Linked DNA regions of Drosophila melanogaster. The protein of the gene in region 2 interacts with the protein of the main gene of each other region in a pairwise test. Each region holds a gene or a part of one and is shown on either strand. Other genes may lie near its edges.

What was found. The genes of interacting proteins can lie anywhere in the genome.
Region 1: the proteins of CG31415 (region 2) and ppk19 interact in a two-hybrid assay, tested with the Drosophila melanogaster proteins (one large-scale study listed by BioGRID).
Region 3: the proteins of CG31415 (region 2) and PIG-C interact in a two-hybrid assay, tested with the Drosophila melanogaster proteins (one large-scale study listed by BioGRID).

Annotation. Positions count from the first base shown.
Region 1 is NT_033777.3:29,669,364-29,674,723, reverse strand, and holds ppk19 (pickpocket 19), read right to left. Parts: upstream 2,269-5,360; coding exon 1,450-2,268; intron 1,385-1,449; coding exon 1,232-1,384; intron 1,171-1,231; coding exon 1,041-1,170; intron 992-1,040; coding exon 802-991; intron 745-801; coding exon 501-744; downstream 1-500. Other genes in the region: Bub3, read left to right, coding at 1-449; Obp99a (Odorant-binding protein 99a), read right to left, coding at 2,512-2,901, 2,970-3,008; ppk30 (pickpocket 30), read right to left, coding at 3,852-3,958, 4,017-4,253, 4,316-4,514, 4,568-4,717, 4,782-5,346. UniProt on the Drosophila melanogaster protein: Part of a complex that plays a role in tracheal liquid clearance. In both larvae and adults, contributes to the behavioral response to salt. Probable role in sodium transport.
Region 2 is NT_033777.3:9,740,047-9,746,146, forward strand, and holds CG31415 (uncharacterized protein), read left to right. Parts: upstream 1-3,470; 5' UTR 3,471-3,513; coding exon of another isoform or gene 3,514-3,621; intron 3,622-3,685; coding exon of another isoform or gene 3,686-3,816; intron 3,817-3,865; coding exon of another isoform or gene 3,866-3,968; intron 3,969-4,023; 5' UTR 4,024-4,029; coding exon 4,030-4,503; 3' UTR 4,504-4,616; downstream 4,617-6,100. Other genes in the region: Pnn (pinin), read left to right, coding at 963-1,096, 1,153-1,922, 2,154-2,173; CG34409 (uncharacterized protein), read right to left, coding at 3,007-3,383, 3,514-3,621, 3,686-3,816, 3,866-3,968, 4,635-5,399, 5,698-5,749.
Region 3 is NT_037436.4:3,317,528-3,322,120, forward strand, and holds PIG-C (phosphatidylinositol glycan anchor biosynthesis class C), read right to left. Parts: upstream 1,706-4,593; 5' UTR 1,666-1,705; coding exon 1,165-1,665; intron 1,063-1,164; coding exon 703-1,062; coding exon of another isoform or gene 625-702; 3' UTR 501-624; downstream 1-500. Other genes in the region: Dpm2 (Dolichyl-phosphate mannosyltransferase subunit 2), read left to right, coding at 2,270-2,378, 2,988-3,124; CG12016 (uncharacterized protein), read left to right, coding at 3,218-4,189.

The DNA of each region.
Region 1 (5,360 bases), about 20 Mb from region 2:
TCAAGTACCAGACCCGCTGCATTCGTCTATTCCCCAACAAAGAAGGCTACGTGATGTCCTCCATCGAGGGACGGGTGGCAGTGGAGTACCTGGATCACGATCCTGAGGTGCAGCGCCGCAAGTTCGCTTTCAAGTGCCACCGGAATAGGGAGCAGAATATCGAACAGATCTACCCCGTTAATGCCTTGAGTTTCCACAATGTCTATCAGACGTTCGCCACTGGCGGATCCGATGGCATTGTGAACATTTGGGATGGCTTCAACAAGAAGCGCCTTTGTCAGTTCCACGAATACGATACCTCCATATCCACGCTCAACTTCAGCTCCGATGGCAGCGCCCTGGCCATCGGCTGCTCCTACTTGGACCAACTGCCAGAGACGCCGGCTACAGTGCCACATCCGGCTATCTATATACGCTATCCCACGGACCAGGAAACTAAACAGAAATAATGTTATATATACTTGTTTACGGCAAAGTTTTACATCATTTTTTAAAGTAAGCTACTTAGTATACTCTTTCAATTTTATGCGCGCATCTCTGATGAAACCCCACATCAGTTTTCCCAGCACAAATAAAAGCTCTATAAAACTCATGACGGAGGCCCCTATATACAGACTTATGATCCCGCCAAAGTTGGCCAGTAAATCTATATTGGTGTACTTGAGTTTCGTAATGATTTTGGTCATGACACGTTGGCCATAATAAACCTGGGCTTTTATCAATTGATCTGTCGAGTTTTTTGGGCTAAAAGAGAGGGGAATTTAATTATCTGTTCTTTAAGAATATATACATTGAACTTACTAATCCAATTTGCGCACATTAAGTGACATTTCGTACAGCCGTGAATTGCAATTGTCTGGGCAATCACAAAAGTGACCCTGTCGTGAGTCGTTAATGTATTTCTCCTGATCACCCATCTTCACGTAAGTGAATATATCGGAATTGTTGCCCAAGCATTGTGCATCGTTGATTCCACATTCCGGAACTCCATCTAAAAAAAAAAAAAATTTAAAATGTAATAGAATAATTACGATAATTACCAATGGGAGGCAGAAAAGCTGGCAGCGAGCACTGGCAGGTCTTCCACACAACTAAGTGGAGGCACACCACCAGGCAGTTTTCGCGGTTATAAGTCAACGAAGTGTTCTGGAAGGTAGGGTTCTTTTCATCCTATGGAGTAAGGAATTATTATTATGATTATCTTTTCCTATTAGTTGCAAGCTATACACACATCAAAGTAGCAACGTCTTTTTTTGGGACTCATTTCATAGGTATTTGGAGAGGTTTCCGTGACCAGCGGATGCACAGCAACAAAGTTCTCCGTATCCGGGTACAGGTGGTACATCATTTCATTGGACCACTGGCGTGGTTCCTTAATCATGAGCTTAGTAACCAAAAAATAAAATTAAACAAAATATGAGCAAACTGTGACGCAACTAAGGGACTTACATTCATTCCAAATGGAGTCAGAGCGTCTATGTTGTTCATAAAGGAGTAGCTTGCATTGATCGTGAACTTCAGGCCCGAATCCTCGCCAGCGGTGCTCAGCTTGTGGGGATAGAACTGGTTAATCAGGTGCTTTTTGCGCGAGTTCTCCGAAATCATGGAGTTGAAGACCAAGCACTGGCCCTTCACCGTCTGCTCCCGTACGAAAAGTTTGCAGCAGTCGTAGGGAGTCTCATCGAAGACGCAGGAATCGGCGACGAAGAGTTCATCGCATCTATAGGTCATGAAGTTCATCAGGTCCGTCATTTTTAGATAACTAATTCCCGTCAGATTTCGTTTGGTCAGAATCCGTATCCGGTTAAAGTTGGAGAAGTTCATAATGTCCATACTGGCGAGTAGCTGGCGAAATGTTTCCCGGAGCTCGGCATTCGGATGACGTGGCAGAAAGCGGATAAATGCCGACGGAGCCCTCTGCCAGTTGAAATGATTCCAGGGGCAAACGGCCACAGCTGGAAAGTCGATGTGGTACACTGGCAACTGGGTGGTCTCTATCAGGCTGACCAGGAGCTGCTCGCTGTGGCGATGCATCAGCACGGTGTACAGACTGAATCCTGTGATCACCGCTCCCAGGACGATGGCGAGCCACAGGCAGCGCTGCCAGAGATGCTGCTCCCCGAAGACGTGCTGCATCCCATGGATGTTGGAGTGGGCAAAGGAGTTGCACAGTTTTTCCCGAAACTTAATACCACGCGGATTGTTCCTGAAGCGCAGTAGTCCTGGTCTCGGCCGCGGAATCACAAGTTCCTTGGTGTACAGCAACATGACGAATGGAAGTAGTTGGCCAAAGTTTTAGTTTAGTTTGGCTGCCTAAAAGCATATCCTCAATGTAATTGCTACTCGGAGTTGTTAATAAGTAAATTGAGGCCCCCATTGAAGAAGAAATATCTACATTCTGTTTTTCCCCACTGAATCGAGAAGGAATGCTCGAACTTGTATGGGAAATCAATTACTTTATTAACTAAACTAATGCTTATCGTTACATCCGTCCAACTAGGACCTAAGCCACTAGGCCTTCGGGGCCAGGCTCTTCTGGATCTGGGCCAGGTTCTCCTTCAGCAGACAGGTGGCTCCGCGGTAGGCCCACTCGCAGGCATTGGATCCCTGCTCGTTCTTGTCCACGCAGGCGGCCAAGGAGGCGTGGAAGGCCTCGTTGTGGTCAGCGTGGTTGCCCACCAGCTGTTGGTGGATGTTCTCCACGTTGAAACCGCTCTGGACGTCGAACAGGCCCCACTTGGTGAAGACGCACTTGATGTAGCACTGGGTCTTGGCGTCGTTGGGGTACTCCCACTTCTGGTACTTCTCCACCAGATCCACGGGCACGGCCAGCTCCTTGACGCACTCATCGCGGTAGGCCAGCATGTCGTGTCGGTTCTTCACCACATAGTCGGCGGAGGCCTATAACCCAAGGGAAGGCGTTGAATTATTCTGGTCCTGGTCGCCGTTTATCTGTATCGAGCACTCACCAGTCCAATCAGCACGCAGATGGCAACGAAAACCTTCATTTTCACTTTCTTTCCACCTATGTATGTATTCCTCCAGCGATCGAGCGAAGACTGTTTTGAAATAGGGCCAGGCAGCCCCTATTTATACGAGAGCGAGGGATCCGATTTGAGTTCGGGAATGGACTTGGTACCTGAGGGGTCTCCAAGGCGCGATTATGCTTGTAGATCCCCAGTTTATTTTTATGCTCAACTCCAAGCTGGGCATCTGATTCTTTTGTGATGGGCTTTTATGCTTGGGGGCACAAGTGGACAACAAAGAATCTGGAATCTGGATGGATGCCTTCTAATAACCTCCATGGGCTCAGTCGCTGATAAGACAGCTCCCCTTTAATCTTTGGCAAATTGGCGCGCTTATTTTTGTTGTTGCTGAAAACAGATTAATACCCACGTTTAGCAAACGCAGCATATTTGGGTGCACTGCAAAAAATACAGTCGCTGTGCAGAAAATTAAAAATACTTGCAATTACATTTATTTTCGGCATTTTATTGAAGGCATATATAAGTATGTGCTCTATAAGGAATTTATTTACTCAATGTTTCAAGTTACAAAAACAGACTTCTAAATTGAAAATGGATTTCTGGGACTTAAAAACAATATTCTTATTCAATTTCTTTTTCTGAAGAAAGCCTACAGTTTTGTTATGTCTGGTTGGAGCTGCACCTGAAAATTTTCCACTGCCATGCAGGTAGCTCTCCGAATGCGTTTTATTTTCTGGATTTGTTTATGTGCGCATCCCAAGAACCAGGTGAGTGGTGCATTTGTGTGTGCTTCGGTTACAGGTAAGTGTGGGAACGTGAGAACCCAGCTGCCGATGGCTGGTACTTCATGGTGCCAGCTTGGGCCTAGGAGCCATGGGGTATGCGACAACAGGCGAAGCGATCCAAGAGTTCGTTGATGCAACCTAGCACCGAGATGCCCATGATCAAACCGGCTATTCCTCCATAGGAAACTACAAGTGAAGGGTAGGGGGTACATGTCATCGCAGCTGTGATTGATCCCAAACTCACCCATTAAGTCGATCAGCGTGAAGCGGAGCATGGAGCGGTAAGAGAAGAGGGTCTCCTCCTGGAAGTACACATCTATCTCGATCGCTGCGGCAAGGTTGGTGTGGGCGCTCATCTTCTCCGTGTAGGTTGACGTGTGGTACTGGGTGTGACCGCACTGAGGAAAGCAACCGCAATCCACGGTGGAGAACACATTATCACGGGACTCTTCGATGATGTTGCTCATGGAAAAGAGGGAAACTAAGCGGAATTCAGTACATATATATCATATATATATGATTTAAGTTTAGAATTAGACCCACGTCGGTGCTGATTGAAGCAGGCCAGATCCTTCACACCGCAAATTCTACGTCCGTTGCTTTCCTTTGCAGCCGCAATGTTGTCCTCATCTTGAGTGGCCTTCACCGGCAGTTCCAAGGAGCAGTTGCACTTGCTGATGATGTAGTTGACGTGGCACTTGTAGATGCACTCCGACCGGGACTTTCCCGTTGGTATCTCATTCTAAGGTAAAATTAAGTTTAAGAGCTAGTATATATTTGGCTAAGGAAACCGACCTCAAAGTAACAACGACGCATTTGAACGGGACGTGCCCGGACATCCAACTCGGCTGTGAAATGAAGTGGTTCCACCGGAACCACGATGCGATCCTCTGAGGAATAGTCAATGCTCATGCCCAGCAACTGGGTCGGTTCGTGCACTATCACCTGGTGTGGTAATTACTCCATGTCATGACGCACTATCTATGTACATATGTCTTATCGGACTCACCCCCATTGTATTCAACGTATACAGACCCTGCTGCCGTTTGATCTTCACATTGAGTCCGCTATATGATCCGCATGAAGCCACGGACCAGGGCCACGTTTCATCTCTTCCCGAGGAGACCAGTGAGTTGAACTCGAAGGCGAAGCCATTGAAGGTCTTGGTGGGTCGGAATAGGTCACAGCAGTTCATCGCCTTGCGACGCCACTGGCACTCGGTGAAGAAGTGCTGGCAGTTCATCTGCAGCGCCTGGTAGATTCCCCAGCTCTGCGCGTTCCAGTTTTCCAGTTCGGAGAACTCCGTGAAGTTCTCATCCGTGAGGCGGGCGGACATCGGTGTTTGCCAGACCACGGACTGAACCAAGTTATAGGCCTTGGAGAGCTTCTCGGCTTTCAGGATGCTCAAATTGATCGGAATGATGGTCACGGCTGGGAAATCGATCTCGGATACATGCATGTCAGTCCTTTCGATGGAGGTCTGCACCCAGTAGTAGAAGTACCGCTCCGAGGAAAGAATGCTCACATACACGGTGGCCAGAGCGGCCATTATTTTAAGGGGGATTCTGGCGTATCTATAGATTAAAAA
Region 2 (6,100 bases):
AAACATTGCAACTATGACCTTTGTACATGTGAATGTACGTGCATCCGCTTGTCTCGCTCAATATAATCGTCCTTCTTTTCTCTGAATATGATGTGTAATTGGTCGGCATCGAAACTTTGACTTCATACTGCACTCATTTCGATATTAACCCCTATTTTAGATGTCCTTGTCCATAGGCTTGCGTGTCCACATCGACATCACTAATTTCACGCTGTCCATTGTAATCTATTTTAAAAACAAGCTGAAAAGTCACGGAGGCGTGCAGGTCCGACCTTTTAATGTACGCGAAAGTACATATACTGTGAAAGCTCTCCGGACGGACAGCTGCAATGGTTCTCTCGACTTCTCTCGCTCTGATGACCGTCTTATCCTTTTTGCCGGACAAAGAAACTGAAACCTACGCAGTCCGCCCATGGTATCTAGTTTCATTTCATCTGCGAGTACAGATACTTTCAGGCGGACGAGAGGTTCAAGTGGGGTTACGTCAAGGTGCATGAGACTAGAAATGAGACTTAGGACAGTCACTTACTGATTGCTGATATGATTACTTAATCATAAATAAATTGGTATAAACAAAAACTATTATCATGTCATTGTTTTTAAATACAAATGCCTTATAAAGTTAAATTGAGAATACAAGAAATGTAGTTATATTTTTTTTATAGGGGATTCCCGAACAAGCATTTGTAATTTTTTCCCCATAGATAGTAGTTGGAGATTATTTCGGATTTTGAAAAGATAAGGAGATCGTTTAAAAGTATATAACAAATATATATATATAAAAGTAAAAACTATCGATGTCCCGTCACGACGAATCGATAGTACCAGGACCATCGCTGTTTTCCGCCAGCACTAGTAACCTCTCATCCCTAAGTATTGTTTTTTTACTTTTATGAGCATCTAATTGTACCGACTTAAGTAAAATAATTAATTAAACAAAACCTAACTGAAACGTGGGAACAATGGTGAATGACTCTGGTCTATCGACAGTGGACGACTTGGAGCAAAAACTGAATTCGGCCAAGCAGTCGCTGGTGATCCTAAATGAAAACATTCGCCGCATTGCTGGTCGCGTCCCCAAGGAATCCCTGCAGAGGTATGAATCCAAGTTGTGCTTAATTTAATTAATTACTTAATGCCGCTGCATTTCAGATCGGAAAAATTCAAATACACCCAAGATGGCAAGAAGAACGAGCACAATGGGGACCGACCGTTCCCCCGAAATGCAACACCCGGTGGGGTCTTCAAAGACAAGCGGCGAATGTACGAAAGCAAGAATCCAATTTCCCGTTTCCCAATCGAAGAAAACGAGGGTCGTCCGCCACGGATTAACTCGCGGGTCATCCGGGAGATGCCAACTAAAAAGGAGATTGTCGAGGCACAGGGCACAGACTCTGAGTCGAGGGCCAGGAATCGCAGGATGTTCGGATCGCTGTTGGGAACCCTACAGAAGTTCTGTCAGGAGGAATCGCGACTGAAGAGCAAGGAGGATAAAAAGGCTGAGATCGATAGGAAGGTGGAAAAGCAGGAACTGCAGGAAAGAGCGATGCTGAGGAAACAGCGTGAAACACTATTCTTAGATAGGAAAAAAAAGCAATTCGAGATCCGTAGATTAGAGTACAAAATGGCCAGAATGAAGGACTTCAAGGTCTGGGAAGCAACTATGTTGAATGCGAAAAATAACATCCGAACAAAAACGAAACCACATCTGTTCTTTAGGCCAAAAGTGCATTCGCCTAGAACGGAAAAATTGTTGAGCAAAAGCAAAAGTGAAGCTGATGTGTTTATAGAATTCCGGCGCGAAGAATTGGAAGTTGAGCTTAAAAACTTGGAGAACATGAACTTTGGGAAGATGGAAGACGATACTGCAATAGACGAAAGTTTCTATGAAGAGCCTGACGACGAAGAGCAGTTGGATAAGTGTAAGTAAACTTCAGTTTGCACTAGGGCTTGAAATATGATCGTGCGGATATCGCTGTGTAGGGCAATTGGGTTTCAATTTATAAAACTTATTTATGAAACTTTAATTTATAATACAAAAACCAGATCTTAAGCAAATAAATTACAATGCGGTGATTACATTTAAAAGTTATATCGTATTTATCAACTCAAATACCTTTGTTTCAATGTTCTACTTCCTGTTTTTATTGCAGCTTTATTATACGTTAAGTAAAGTACCCAAAAGTAAATGATGCTATTCTAGGAATAAAGGATTACAACTAATGCAATTTAACAAATTATTTGCAAAAGCAATTGTTTTACTTCACCGAATGAAGGGGTGTTTAAGAACATCAATTTGTGGACAAAACCAGTTATTCTTTATTGCCATTATTTATGTCCTACTAGAAATAAAACTTGGAAAAAAAAAATTGTTTACTGCAAGCAAGCTATATTTGTATCTTTCAAAAGAATTTGTAAAATTGTAAATAAAACTAAAAAATATTTTACACGCAAGATATTGGATCGCGAAATAGGAACATTAAATACCTAATTATGTATTTATAGATATAATCATCCTGAAGCTAAATCACATATTTTATTCTCGCTTCCAAATTGTTTGAGGAAGTAACTAATTTAAAATGAGGCGTTAAAACAATTATAATTCTTTAAGCGATAAGTTAAGAACTCTTATAAGATAATTATACCTTCTTCGCCGTCTATTAACATTATTAATTAAGACCAGTAGTCAGAAGCAATTAATGAAAAAATAATATGTTAACCTCTGATTCTTGTACTGTATTCGTGTAAAAAAAGAACATTGTTTTTCTGAAAATAAAATGAGAGCATTGACATCCGCCATATACAGTAGAAAAATACAAATTTGATGAATACGATTGTTATACACGTACATTTTATTGAAATTTAGGTGATTTGAAGTGGAACCGAATTTTTGTATTTATCCGTAGAATGTATGAATCATTGTTCTTTACGTCGATGTATTCTGAAGACTTTGGCATTGGAAGCTTTGGATGTAATTTGCTAGGGATGGGTTCCCAACACGACCGCTCACTGGTCAGATCCTTCGGCGATGCTTCGCAGTATCCAATCGGAGAAGCTACTCACCAGGGTGTAGACCCCCGGAATGGTGGTCACGCCGCACAGCGTCGGTCCAAAGGCCACGATGCCGATGATCGTATAACGTCCACTTGTTCCAAAGACGCCGGAGGTACCGTCGTCCATAAAGGGGCCGCCACTATCGCCTCGGCACACGTCATTCATGGGCATTCCCTGGGCGCACAGGTGGTTGGGAGTAATCACAATAGGCTGCTGGAAGTTCTCACTGAGACTGGCATAGGCGATGGCGCAACTGGTGGTGTTCACGATGGGCAAACGGATGAAGCGCACCCCAGCGGTGGAGTTTGAGGGGTCCATCGAACTATTATCTGGATAAAATTTGTAGTAGAGAATGTTATATACATTTAAAACCTAATATGCACTGAATTATATTTCGATCGCATTGATAGTAAGTTAAAAAATGTAACAGATCAGATATAAAGTTGTTTCGAGACTAACTTTCAGTACTCCCAATACTCCAACCAGCAGCCACTCCAATTTGTCCTATCAGCCTGTTTCCCAGTGTGATTGGCCCGTTGAAGGGTAAGCATATGGGTGTGAAAGTGCCTGCAAGGTTGGTGGTGGTTATTCAGCGTAATCATTGACCTAGGATAGGAGTATAATCTCTTACCATTAGTGCTGTTGATTCGTAGGAGGGCAATGTCATTTGCATACTTGGGCTGGTCGTAGTTCGGATGAACTATAACCTGCTCGATGGCAAACGGAGTCGCCCCATCCTGACTTCCCAATCGAACATGGGACCTACGAAAGAGCGTGGATTACAAAAGATTTAATTAGGCTTTAGACTTACAGTTCCAAATCGCTGACTAGGTTGACCACACAGTGGGCGGCAGTTACGATGTGGTTGCTGGATATCAGGGATCCGGAGCAGCGAAAGCTAATGCGGCTGCTGCCTGAAAATATTATCGTAAAACTTCTGTAAGAATAAAGATTTTTTCTTGTTTTCAGCTCAACATGTGCGCTTGCCCTTGTTCAGGAAGAAGTCTACCACCTCAGAGCAACAACCCTGATTCTTGCCCAGCTCCTGGCTCACGGGGCGGTCCAGGTGCTGGTGGAGGTGCCCCTGGTGCCGGTGGAGGCGGCCCAGGTGGTCGTGGAGGGGGCCCGCCCCAAAAGCGTGGAACGTGTGGCCCCAAACCTTGCGGCGGACAGCAGTGCAATAAATGCGGTAAGGGAGGCCCTGGAGGAAGAGGTGGCCCTGGAGGAAAAGGTGGTGGCCCTGGAGGAAGAAATGGCCCTGGAGGTAGTGGTGGTCCCGGAGGCAGAAATGCTCCCAATGGCGGTGGTGGAGGCGGAGGAGGACCTTTTGGGCTGAGTGCCCCACCAAACAATCGCGGACCCAAGGCTCTGGGACTGGCTGCTCTGCTCTTTGCCGTCGGCGTCTACCTTACATTAAAAATGGTTATTGTGGCCAGTGAAATTGGATGAGCGCAGACAGGACGGCATTGGGCCCGGCTCAGATCTCCAATGCGGAGTAAGTTTAAGAGCATTTAAGAGGCGTTGCGTTGGGTAAAATAAATTCGAAATTGCGTATTTAGCCTAACATAAGATGTACTTACTTCGGTTGCGATAAGCGATCCTTGTCAGCCAGGGAAACTGTCCGGCACTAGCCTGATCTCCTCCCAGCAGTCGGCTCTCTACATTTATCCCACATCCTTGGGTGTTCTCCTGTGCGAAAGGTGGCATCGATGCGGTTGTTGTGGATAAAGAAGCAGGAATTGTTTCAATTGGTGTAGCTAATGTTGTGGTAAACGGCGCCAGGGGCGGACCTTGATCTATGTTGGAGTCAATTGCCTCCTCTCCCTGCCGCTGGAAGCGTAGGTCCCCGGGAAATACTATGGGCTTATCCTTTGGCACGGGTCGCAGTAATGTATCCCGTTCTTCGTGCTCCACATGATACAGAAAGTGGTGTCCCAAGGCGAACCGTCGGTCGAAGAACTCTGGTTCCACGGGCTGGGGACAATTGCGTTGTTCCTCGAAGTTCCAGTAGTCATGCAGATTGGTCTCCGCTTCCAGATAATCCCCGTGTGTGTGGGAGTGCCGGCTGCCCTTGTCACTATCCGCACCATCCCAAATCCAACGATCATTCGGCGGAGCAAAGCGCATCTTGCGACTTGCTTTGACGAAGGATGACTCATCGTGGTATTGTTTGCGAGAATTCGGACAACAGACGAGCGGCTCGAGGCCTTGGAAGCCACAACTGGCGCTGTGCACCTTGGCGAACACAGCGGACTGTTCTCCGGGTCCGTGGTGAAGTAGAAGGCGTGCAAAGGGGGCACACTTCCCAAGGCGGATGCAGTGGCAGGCGGAGGCTTTGCGATCCCCTGAAAGTATAACGGATGACCAGGCTGGATGACAAGGCATGAAATCACTTCTCGAAGGTCAATGTCGGCACAGCAATCACGAACCAGAAAATCAGCAAACCAGAAGTGCCCACGGCAATTACTCACTTTTTTGGTTCGGCATTCGCCGTCATTCGTGCGGTTTATTGCCCTTCGCTGGGAATTTCTAGACTAAGACCTTGACCCACTAAGAGGGCTGGTCTTTAATTACCCCCTACCGTCGCACGTTTGTGTCTTGAGTCATTGCTTTATTAGGGATCCCCGGGATACGAGTACTTACCACTCAAACACAGGATGCAGAATAAGAGTGAGACGATTTTTAGGCGCCGCATTTCGAACGATACAAGTCAAGAAATTGGGAAACCAGTAACACAACGTCGCCCGACCAAGTGCGAAATTGAAATAAATTGGTTCAATCTCCGAGCCAGCATGCATATCTTACTTCCACGCTTCCAGCTCTATTCAGATTTCGATTTTCGCGACGACGAATCAAAACAAAAAGAGAGCTCGAAAAAACCAATTATCAGGCCGTAAACTCGGTTTGGGCCACAGCCGTAAACCAGCAGCAACATCAGACGAAGAGAACCAACAATGACGGCTAGCAAAATAACCGATTGTCATCCAGAACAGATCAATACAAAACATGTTTTGCTGGCCGGCCACTCTAAACTTGAAACTGAGGA
Region 3 (4,593 bases), on a different chromosome or scaffold from region 2:
TGGATTATTTATCTCTCAAGAATGCTTACTGAAACTGTGGAAGTAGCTTGCAGGACAGCATGCATTACATAGATAGGTAAAACGCAGAATACTAAAATAATTAAATCTCTGGTTAGACTAGGAACTTCTGGGAAACCCAAGGGCGTGCACTTAATACAGATGTCACTCATCCATATTCCATAGTCTATTATTAAAGCAATTGCTTCAATTTATTTGCGTTAGATAGGGTCAAATATATTCAATGTATGCTCATGCGAATGTTTAATTGTTATCTACGAAACGGGTTTTAGTCGCTGACGATAAATAATCTTTAACTAAATTTATTTTTAGTCTGAGTAAAACACAACCAAGCCAAAAAACTCACCCTGTTAATTTAACTCCATTATCTTTCAATTGAAAAACCTTTGCCTTAAGTTGATAACAATTTATTTAAAAAGCCATTCATAGGACCAAAAGAAAGTCCCCTAAAAATTACACAAATTTAAAAGTGCTATGGTTTTAAACACAAAAAGTATAATTTATTAAAACGCTACTTACAAACTAACAGATATAACATGATACAAAAGATTAACATCAATGGCTTGGAATGAGTTTACAAAGTTATAAAAATAAGCGTGCAATGGTTTAGCGATCAGTGAAGTGCTCCTCGACGTCGCCGCTACCCAGTCGTGGCGGCAACTGTTCTGAGAAGCGCAGCTGGCGCTATAAGTTCCCATCCAGGTTCTCCTCGGTGTTCTCCTCCACGATGGCCTCGTCCCAGGGCCCGTGAATGTTGAACTTGTACTGCTGCTGCCACACGAATATGAACGGGCAGACAAAGTTGATGAAAATGGTGGTGGAGGCGTAGAGATAGAGCACCGGGCGCGATATACAGTACAGCGCCATACAGCATATTGCAAATATAGGCAACATGAATCCAGCATGCCAATTCGCTTCCGTCATTATGGGATAAAGGACGAAAAAGACGGCAGCCTCGACAAGGAGCACGAAGGCGTGATACGAAGTCGGCAGGCGGGAGGCTAAGCAAATTGCTCCAAATATGGCGGCATTCAACGAGACGGCCTGCGCTTAACATGGAACAAGAAGTATTTGTATTATATAGGATTCTGAGGTGGAGTCAAGATCAATATACAATCAACACCAATAGCCGTAAATATTGCCTACCTTAGAGACCATGGCTACATCCAATCCATAGTGTCCAAATATCAGGTTGCCCAGAAGGACAAAGAAGGTCATTGTGTATATGGTGTCCGTGCTGATGGCCTGCGTTAGGGTGTGCAGCATCGGTGAGAATAAGTAGCCGAAGAGGACCACTGTGACCAGGGTTTTGGAATCCTCGCCCAGCAGGGCCCAGCTGAGACTCCTTCCTCGGTAGCACAGGTATCCAATGCCTGTGATCCCGCAACTGGGTACCAGGATCGTGGTGGGCGACACGCTGTCGCTGAGCATAAGTTGGTAGAGTATTAGGAAGCCGGTGATGCAGGAGATCTGATTATTAAGCACTGTAATACCGGCAATTGCTTCGCCGAACGTGTATATTCTACAATGTAGATTCGTGCGCAGATCCTTCAGAAAGCTGGCATCCGTGTAGTTGTCCGGATATTCCCGGTTGGAGTACAGGTTCTTCACCCATGGCTGCCGTTTCGATTGCCCATTTTTTACCATTCTTAAATTTAAAAATTGTTTGTTTACAATTCTATTAGTGCTGGGTTATCAGCGTTCGATAGTATCAGTTACTATCGACATATCGATATTGTTTTATCCACTGAAAAGTATTGAAAGTAAGTGCTGGTCACACTGTCATAGTGATGCATGTTTCACTTGAAATATCGATGATGATAGTTTAATTTGAAATATTAATAAACTGTTCATTATCTAAACAAGGGGTTTTACAGCAAGCTAATAATATACAAATCTTATTCTGAAAATTATCCCCAAGCAGAAGTGACTCGCCTACATCGATAAGAACATCCGCTGGTGTTGCGCAAAACAGTTACTCGAGCTATCGATACTTGTTCGAGTGGTTGAACCACCACTACCTTGAATTCGGAAATTTTTTGACGCACTTGTTTGTTTTGTTTACAATTACGCCACGAAAGTAAATCGGCAGCTACGAAAAAACATTAGGGATTCGTGCGGCGGGTAAACGATCAGTGGACAGTGAAGCAGTCCGTCCGGGGAGAACGCCCCATGAGCAGTTTTACAAACAAATCGCCGGTCGCGTGTTCTCTCGCCAGAGAAACCCCAGAATTTCCGAGAATAGCTATTTATGGCTTCGAATGCGCAACTCGGGAAAATCATTTTGATATCTGCAATCGCCGTGTTCTTCTATTACTTCTTTTGGGTGGCCGTCCTCCCGTTTATGCTCATCGATGAAGGTGAGTTTTCCACGGCTTCCGTTATTCACCCGCTAATACATAAGTTTTATTGAATAATCTCGCGCTTTTGTATAGTAATTAAAGTGACGCCGCGGCGTAAATTGGTCACGATGTTCAATTATATATAGTTGGCAGTGTACGAGGATGAACCCGTGTGTTTTACAGAGGTGACCACCCTAACACGGGTTACCTGGAATGCGGCTGTACGATGCTCTAAGCTCGGGTCAAGGTCACCGACGACTAGTGATGATAGGAGTACAGTATTCGCCCGATATGTGCACAGTCAAACTAGTTAGCTATTGTAGAGTCTAGGCATGTACAATCAGCGATAAAAACGAAAACGTGCTTAACCAGTGGTACCACTGTATTATGTGGTTCCAAATCTGGGTGTGTACTTAGCTAATTATTTTCGGTAGTTTTTCCGCCTGGATATTGGCTCTTCACTTTATACGTAAATATTTCATGATCGTAGTTTTGCCGTTCCGTGACAATTTTAATTTGTTGCTATTAAGAGTAATCATAAAAACAATATACTTACGTATTTTCTTTCCTGGCCTGTTATCAAATGAAACACTTGTGAACATGAGTATACTTTACAAACTTTTACAGGCAATCCCATTCGGCTGTTCTTTCCACCGCTGAAGTACGCTTTCATTGTGCCCACCGTGTTCGGGGTGATCTTCCTCGGCGGCATCGCCGCGTTCTCCTTTTACCACATCTGGAGCCTGAGAGTGAAACGTGATTAAGGGGGTTATCCGGGGGGTTATCTTGCTCGGTGCGAACGCGAACGTACGATTCCACTGAAAAACAAGGAAGAGCGATAGTCAGTCGTGGACAAGATGCCGCAGTGGCTGGTCATTGGTATCTCGGGAGTCACCTGTGGTGGCAAAACTACGCTAGCCCACAGCCTGCACGACTACTTCAAGGGTCTGAGAGGAGCGCCGCTGTGGAACTCGCCGTACACCATTGGCGAGGTGCGTCTGATCTCGCAGGATGACTACTTTCTGCCCGTGGAGGACAAGCGACATCAGCGAAATGAGGCGCTCAACGCCATCAACTTCGAGCTCATCACCTCGCTGGACATGGCCAAGATGCTGAACGACATAGCGCACATAATCAAGGGGCGCCATGTGGCTCCCGAGCCACAGGAGCACCTTGTGACGTATGCCAACTTCGAGCACTACGCCCAGCAGTTCCAGCAGCAGTACCAGTACAATGCGAACTACTACAAACAGGCCAATGGCGGGGTCTATCAATATCCGCCACAGCAGCACCCGAGACATCACCCCCATCACCAGCAGCACCACCACCAGCACCATCAAATCCAGCAGCAGCAGCAGCACATTATGAGCATCAATGCGCAGATTGCCGCCCAGCTGAGGGACAAGAAGGTCAATTTCCTCCTGGTCGAGGGATTCATGATCTTCAACCAGCCGGAGCTGCTGGCCCTGTGCAACATTAAGTACCACTTCCATCTGCCATATGAGAAGTGCTTCGAACGGCGCAGTAAGCGCACATACGATCCACCCGATGTCACGGGCTACTTCGAGCTCTGTGTGTGGCCGCACTACGAAAAGAACTTCAGCGAGTACCGCGACTGCAAGGACATTACATTCCTCAATGGCGAGATCGCCAAAGAGAAGATCCTCGCGTTCGTCCTTCATCGCATCGTCCACTACTTCAAGGAGCGCTGCGAGGTTCCAGCTCCTGCTCCCGTCGTCTGCCCGCCGCAGCAGAAACGGTTCGGTATGCTCTACATGGGTCCGAGCAATAACAACGTCATGCCGTCGGCGTGTCCCATGGAGCAATAGTTTGTCCTTGGATTCAGAGTACAATAATTGAATATTGTATAGTAGTAGGATGTTAAACGGTTCAAAATTGTTTGGATTACTTCTCCGAATCGTGGCTAAAATTCCCATATTACGTTATAGTTGTAAGCTACTCTAAGGGTGGTTCGATTTTAAATTGTTAAAAGTATGATCTAAAATCAATTATTTAATTCAAATTAAAAATGTGAGTTTTTGGAACTTGAGCAAATGTTAAGCACCGCAAAGTCCAAAGAAAAGTGCAGTATTGTTTAGAGAATATTTTGATTGTTTGATTGCCCAACCTACAACTTCCACGACCAATTTGCTTACAGTTTCTAGCTTCTTTTTACGGAACAATCGAAACAAATCGACCCGCCCTAGAATACAACTATTATTAGTTAGTCTTT